Linked DNA regions of Diceros bicornis minor. The protein of the gene in region 2 binds, or shares a complex with, the protein of the main gene of each other region. Links are inferred from orthologs where the notes say so. Each region holds a gene or a part of one and is shown on either strand. Other genes may lie near its edges.

What was found. The genes of interacting proteins can lie anywhere in the genome.
Region 1: GINS1 (region 2) and MCM3 share a complex: the UniProt entries of both Homo sapiens proteins name them as parts of the CMG helicase complex. The link is inferred for Diceros bicornis minor from reciprocal best matches to the Homo sapiens genes GINS1 and MCM3.

What each region holds. Positions count from the first base shown.
Region 1 is NC_080753.1:14,602,058-14,605,804, forward strand, and holds the start of MCM3 (DNA replication licensing factor MCM3), read left to right. Parts: upstream 1-1,339; 5' UTR 1,340-1,398; coding exon 1,399-1,476; intron 1,477-2,504; coding exon 2,505-2,617; intron 2,618-3,052; coding exon 3,053-3,261; intron 3,262-3,747. UniProt on the Homo sapiens protein: Acts as a component of the MCM2-7 complex (MCM complex) which is the replicative helicase essential for 'once per cell cycle' DNA replication initiation and elongation in eukaryotic cells.
Region 2 is NC_080758.1:51,386,349-51,390,095, forward strand, and holds the start of GINS1 (DNA replication complex GINS protein PSF1), read left to right. Parts: upstream 1-1,280; 5' UTR 1,281-1,386; coding exon 1,387-1,461; intron 1,462-1,603; exon of another isoform or gene 1,604-2,560; intron 2,561-3,747. UniProt on the Homo sapiens protein: Required for correct functioning of the GINS complex, a complex that plays an essential role in the initiation of DNA replication, and progression of DNA replication forks.

The sequences.
Region 1 (3,747 bases), on a different chromosome or scaffold from region 2:
ATACACGTACAAATAGATGGCATATATGTTTTGTTTAGGTAGATTATACTGAGAATATTTATCAGGGCACAGTGAGTCCTAGAGACCTTTGAACATAAACTAATAATTAGTTGGCCGCAATTTCTGCTGTAGAATTACCAGGTGTCTAGTATTAGGCAATCTGGTATTTTAGCTTCCCATTCAGTAAAATCAAAAACACACGCTGGGGCAGTGAGACTGTTCTTTATTGTGCACCGGGTGGTTACATGGATGTATACATAATAAAAATTCATTGAGCTGCACCCTTAAGATTTGTGCATTTTACTGTATATAAATTATACCTCAAAAATGAAACTAAAAAATCTAAACAAACCACAAAAGACTAAAAGCAAGCAAAAAAACACTTGGACATGCAATTTATCTCTTAATTATTTATAATTTCAGATTTGCTATATCTTAATTACTGATTGATACTGGAGTGGCTTGAAACACTTTTTTTGTTTCTCCTTGTGTTTGTCTTTCAATAAACTAAGTTTTTAAAAAAGGTCCTGTGATCTTCCTACAAGGCGAGAAAGCCTTTAACTTACCCATCTGCAAGTAAGATGGTGCAGTAATTTTGTGCAAAGTTTGTTCAACACATGAGGCCATCTCTAGGGGGCGGGGTACATGCCGAAAATTTTTTTCACTTCACCCTCCTCCGCGGTCTGATATTTTTATGGGGTACTTCAGGCAACAGTATTCAGAGAGCAAATGGGTCGCTGAACTAAACAACCCTTCCCAAAGAAGCTAGGATTCTATTTTCCATTCCACGGATTGTCAAAATTCACTTTTTTTCCCCTGGAGGCCAGTTGAGGATAGTTGCTTGAGAAACATATCTAGCACGCCAGATCTGAATATATTTTAAAATAAAATTGCTTTTATGTTTTCATCTCCCTGCATTATGAACCCCCATTCTCTGACTTTCAGCCTGTTCTCAGTACAACCGCCGCGCTGAGTTCATTCACTCTGCGGCAGGTCAGGGGACAGAATATCAAGACTACGACTCCCAGAATGCATCCGGCGCCTTGGGCCGCCCAATGATCAGGCTCCGCGAGCCTCCCTTCGGCCCCATTGGTCAGCTCTCCCGTCAGTGAGGGCGGAGCGGGGAGGGGAGAAACAGAAGGCCCCGGATGGCACATTTCCCGCCACAGCGGGGCGCAGATCGGAAAACGCGAAGCAGCAGCAGCTCTCGATTGGATACTCACTATTCTGGCGTCAGAGGAGTCAGCCAATCAGAATGTTTATACGCTTCCAGAGCCCCCGCCCCTTCCTCGAGGTAACCCCTGGTGGCGGGAAAAGCTCGGAAGTTTTCGCGCCGGGGCGGGGTCATCCAGGGACCCTCCGCGCGGCTCTGGAGGAGGCAGTTCCGAGGCGGCAAGCATGGCGGGGACCGTGGTGCTGGACGATGTGGAGCTGCGGGAGGCGCAGCGAGATTACTTGGACTTCTTGGATGACGAGGTGAGCGAGGCGCCGGGTCGCGAGACTCTGGCGCTTGGGGCCCTTGGGGACGCGGACGGGCCGAGGGAGGCCACGCAGGACGCCGCTCCACGCCAGAGCCGCAGGGCCGGGAGCGGGAGGACCGCCGGGACTCGGCTCAGGAGCCCTCCACCCCGAGCTGGTCACTGTTCCAGCGGAGGAGTCAGTCGTTAGCGGTTTTCCGTAGGGGAACTCTTAGAGAGCGGTCCTGTGACTTTCTCCCAAGTACAGATGATGGCCGGGGCTCGCAAAAATAAAATGGCAAAGCTCCCTTTGACCTTTTAGAAGTCGCTCCCTGCTCTCATAATTTGGAGGGAGGGAGGGGGAGGTAGGGCTGTAGAGCGGTGGTGACCCGCCGCGTTTCAGGGTCCCCAGGTTTTAGTGACTGACTTCCTAATTTGGCCGCGTTCTTTTTCAGTACCAGGTGAGATGCAGAAAGTGTCTGGTATGCAGGTAAAGGGGGTTTTGTGCACAACCCAGTTTGAAAGCCATAGAATGTTGGTAAAGCATCTTGAAGAGTTGATAATGCTGTGTCTGTAAACAAATAGCTGAGGCTCCCAACTCCTTTAGGTCTGGATATGAGAACTCTTTCTGTATTATATACATGATTGGAAAATAAAATATTTTAATTCTGTACATGTCTTAAAAGTCATTTTAATGTGAATATTAAAAGCCCGTTTATTAACATTTTAACAAGCTTCTTACTTACTGTCCTTCTTATTAGTTCGTTTTAATTGCCCATTAAAGGTTGAGAAATGACTACATACAGAAAAGCCGATAATGATAAAAGGAATAATAGCATGGACTTTAAGGAAGTCATTATAATTCCTACGCTGTCCTCTTAGGGTGTGTTTGGAATCTGAAGCTAGTGAGTGAAAATATGGGAGAAATTGGGGTTCTGCTCTGCCGCGGAGATTGACTTATTTATCTTGCTGCGAGAGTTGCCTCTGTTTAAAAACATCTTATTTTTGAATGTGTGGCTGCTGTTATATGTGGTGGCTATTTTGCAGGAAGACCAGGGAATTTATCAGAGCAAAGTTCGGGAGCTGATTAGTGACAACCAAGCCCGGTTGATTGTCAACGTGAATGACCTGCGCAGGAAAAATGAGAAGAGGGCTAACCGGTGAGTGGCAAAGGTTTCCAAGGGGATGTCCTGGCTCTGGGTGAGAATGGCTCCCTTCTCTCTCCCCCCAGAGTGGAACAGGCTTCCCAGGAAAGGACCTGGATGAAATGTTTTTGGCTTAGGAGCCCTCTTTTCCTCACCTGTTCCTATGTTTTTATCTTCTTCCAAAAGTAGGTGGTGGGCATTTTCCTCTCAAGAGCTCCTTCTTCCGTGTTTAGCTGAGTATCATTTCTAAATCTTTGATGAGTTGAATTCAAGTTGGCCCTTGGTTCTGGTCTGTTTTACTGAGTCTTGTAGGATGGCAGGAGAAAGTAGGAGCTACATTTTTCACTCCTTGGCCTTGATCACCTAAGAATGTTCACTTCTGTTTTGAGGGTCAGTTTTTTTGAGCTCTGCCATCTCCGCCTAATTATTCTTTCTCTTGCTCATGTTTAGCCTCCTGAGCAATGCCTTTGAGGAGCTGGTTGCTTTCCAGCGGGCCTTAAAGGATTTTGTGGCCTCCATTGATGCTACCTATGCCAAGCAGTATGAGGAGTTCTACATTGGATTGGAGGGCAGCTTTGGCTCCAAGCACGTATCTCCCCGGACTCTTACCTCCTGCTTCCTGAGCTGTGTAGTCTGTGTGGAGGGCATTGTCACTAAGTGTGAGTGGGTTAAAGTGGGGTCTAAGGGAATGGAGGTGGGATAGAGTTGGGGGTGTGGGAAAGCAGGAGAGGTGGAGTAGAGCTGTGTAGCTTATGCTACACAGCTTCAGAAAGGAGGAGCGTTGAAATTACAGAGTGAAACTCGGAGGAGCTCTGAGTGGCCACAATGATTAGGGGGACTTGAGTGACTGCCTGTGCTAACAGAATGATGAGTTCTACTGAGAGTGGAGGAGTCTTGGCTTTTGGCAGTCTTCTCATTCTAACCCTGAACTCCTGCTGTTTCTCAGTTGGGATCGGTTGTACTTAAAGTTTTACATGGACCTGGTAATGTTCTATATGTAAATATAAAAATGAATAAATGACAAGTATTATTGAAATAGCTTAAACTAGACGGAAGAATACAGTATTTGGAGTCATTGTAGGCTTGCCTGGGCCAGATCCCACCTCTGTAACCGTCTAGTTGGATGACTTCATATGCACATTTTC
Region 2 (3,747 bases):
TAAATTATCTCTTAACGTAGAGCTGAAAATGAAATGTCACTCAACTTAAGGATGATTGAAGCATTGTAGGCCATTCCCATGCTCACGTCTCAGATCACACATCTACTGTATCTATATTTGCAGAAGAGGGACACAGTGTCTAGGGTTAGCTAGAATGAATCCAAGTAATATTGCTTTTTAAAAAATATCCAAATAAAACGAATTGTTTCTATAGCAGTAATTCCCACCTTCGATTCTATATAGTTATGAAAATTTCCATAATCATTTAGGCAAGTATATGGCTATGTGAATGCGTGTTAATCTGGGGCATTTTTCCCCCTTCATAGACCTTGTGACTGGAGCTATTTTACAAATGTTTTTAAATGACTTCTTTTAAAATCAAAGGTGGTACTGTGGAGTTGAAAGCTTAAATACAGGGTCTGTCACTTGATGAGCTGTGAGACCTCGGGCAAATTATCTAACTTGTTTCCCTTTTTTTTTTTTTTAAGAAGTGACTTCTATTTATTTATTTATTTATTTCCCCCAAAGCCCCAGTAGACAGTTGTATGTCACAGCTGCACATCCTTCTAGTTGCTGTATGTGGGACGCGGCCTCAGCATGGCCGGAGAAGCGGTGCGTTGGTGAGCGCCCAGGATCTGAACCCAGGCCATCAGCGACAGAGCGCGCGCACTTAACCGCTAAGCCACGGGGCGGCCCATAACTTGTTTCCTAATCCGTTCCAAGAGACTTAATGACCACCTTAGGGTTAATCCTGAGAATTAAATGAAATAGAAGTCCCAGTCCCTGCCACACAAGAAATACCCAATAAAACTTGGTTTCCCATTACTATCTATCAAACGAAAAACTCACACTGCAAAACTAACGAACGAAACGCTGCGTCATAACGTGAATGCACACCAAGTTCCCGGGCCTGCCTTCTGAACCTCAAAGTGCGCAACCCTTGGAACCTAAACGAAAAGGAATGACTCAAATGGAAAAAGGAAGTTGCGGGGCCTGCATTTCTCCCGAGCCGTGGTGCGCGCAGAGTTGCCTGGTTACCCTCCTGGGAACTCGAAGAAGTCTACTCAGCCTGCGGACCCAGGCCCGCCGGCTCTCCCCACACGCGGGGGCCATCCCCAGCAAAGGACCTCCACCCAGGACTCTGCCCGTCTTGAAGCAGCTGGGCAGTGGAGTCAAATGTCCCTTTGCCGCCGCCGTAGGCCGCGACGCCCATCAGTGCGTTCCTATTGGCTGGCCAGGCTTGGCGCCAAAACGCGGAGGGGAAGCGAGGATCAGGAGCTGTGGGACCGGGAAAGATAGGAGCCGAGAGCGGCGGCCGAGAGCCCGGGGACCGTTTGTCGTGAGAGTGGGCGGCTCACAAGGCCGCGGGACCGGGGCGCGTCCGCCATGTTCTGCGAAAAGGCCATGGAGCTGGTCCGCGAGCTGCATCGCACACCCGAAGGGCAGCTGCCCGCCTTCAACGTGAGGGGGGCAGGGGCAGACAAAGATGGGCGTGCTGGCTGGCGGGGCCTGGAAGCCCCGGGGGCGGGACCGGGGGCGGGGCGGCTTCCCGCGGTTCTTCCTTGCGCCTTACCCGGAGGGTTTACTTTCTCGTGGTGTAAGCTCCAAAGTCGGGGGACAGAAGTTTTGGAACGTGGCAAGACAAAGTATAGGAGGAAAAAGAAAGCACTAATGTTTATGTCACCCGGCGATATTGTGAATTTCCTCCTATGTCTCCCTTAGTGTTCTCCGGTGTGCAGCTCTGCTGCTGTTCCTTTGTTGCACCAAGCATTGATTAGTAGTTGCCTGTGCTCTAGCATTTGTCGTGCACTCGGGCAGCAAAGGGTGGTGATTGAAAGCTAGGCCTGTGGAGCCAGGCTGGGATTCTGGCTCCATCGTGTGGCTTTGGGCGAGTTACTCAAGCTTTCTGTGCTGTTTTCGTCTCTGCAGAAATGGGGCCGATGGGAATAGTACCCAACTCCTGGTATGCTGAGGGCTGATGAGTTGGTGTATGTCAGGCTTTCTGAACAATGCTTGACACCCAGGAACGGCTAAGTCAGTGCTTGCTATTAATTTTCTTTCTGCCACTGCTGCTGCTACTCCTACTGCTCTTATGATTATTCTTATTTCCCTGTTACTGCTACCCCAGTCAGGGTGCTGAGCGCTTGACCTACATTATCTCTCTTTTTTTCTTTTTTTTAATTGAAGTAACATTGATTTATAACATTATGTAAATTTCAGGTGCACCTCGTTATATTTCCATTTCTGTATGGAGTGCATCATGGTCACCACCCAAAGACTAATTATCATACATCACTGTAACCTATATTATCTCTTGTTCTCATGGTAACCCTTTGAAGTCTAAACCATCTTTTATTTTCCATTTTTTTCCAGCTATCTGTTGGAAGCTTGGGGAGATTAAGTGACACAGCCAGTAAGAAGTAAAGCTCAGATTTAAACCCTGGCAGTTTGGCTCCAGAGCCTGAACTCTAGGTTCTATACTTGACTACATCCCCCGTCATAGGGCAGCCACAGTGTGGATGCCAGGGCACATTGTGCTGGGAGTGGGGCACGAAAACAGGTAATAGAATGTAATGTGATAGGTGATGCCGAAGAGGTGTAGAAAAGGAGCACAAAGGAGAAATGCCAGTGTGAGCTAGGGTACAGGAGGGGGCGTTTGAGCCATGCCTAGAAGGATGAGGTCACCACTCTGAGAAGGGAGTGAGGCGTCCCAGCCAAGTGCAGAGACGGGCAATCACATAGCAAAGGGTGACTGAAAGACAGGGTGTGTGCAGGGACTACAGAGGTGGGTTCCAGGCCTGGGAGAGTTTGGTATTCACTCATAAGGCATTTGGAAGCTGGCAGAGGATTTTAGACAGGGGAGTGAGAGGGTAATTTTTTATGTTTTGAGGATAACTATAGCAGCAGCAATATGGGGAATGGATTGGAGAGAAGAAAGAATGGAGGCAGGGAGATCGTTAGTGGGTGGTTAAAATAGACCAGATGATAGATGTGTATGGTCCAAACTGTGTCTGGTCAGTGGGCCCTGAAATCGGTGTCTGGCCTGTATGGGCTTGAGACAAACAAGACTTCTAACTATTAGAACAGAAGTGGAGATGGGGTGAGTAATCAGTGAGGAGGAGGAATCGGGATTTTGGGAGGCGCTTCTCTCAGGTGGCTGAGTAAACCACATTGGAGTTGAGGAGGAAGAGTGTTCGGGGGAGGGTGAGTTTTGTTTTGAACATTAAAGGGCACCTAGTCTGACAATTAGGTCATTTTACAGATGAGAAAACTGAGCCAACAGAAATTATGGATCAAGTTAAGGTACTTGTCTGAACTTACAGCATATTGGAGGAAGAGCCTCAACTTGAACACAGGTTTCCTAGATTCTAGTCTGTTGTTCTTTCAACTTCAGGACAGTTACCTCATTTAAAAAGTCAGGAGACAACAGTGGGAGTTTAGTAGAGATGCTGGAATGCAGAGGTATGTAGGCTCTAAAATATGGCTCCACGCTGGGGTCCGGACAACTAGGCACTTTGGAGTTCATGATGCACATGAGGAAACAAGCCCAGAGAGGCAGAGACTTCTCCAACAGGTGCTGGCTGAGGTGGCCTTGGAACCGGCTCTTAAGACTCTTAGTCCAGCTGGCCTTCTCACTCAAATTTTAAGATAAGTGTTGGTTTACTGCTTTTGGGGAGCCAGGGATGGAACTTAGAAGTTGTAAAATCACTCCTTTTTCTAGGTCTTAGTGTGGTGGGGCACCTTTTG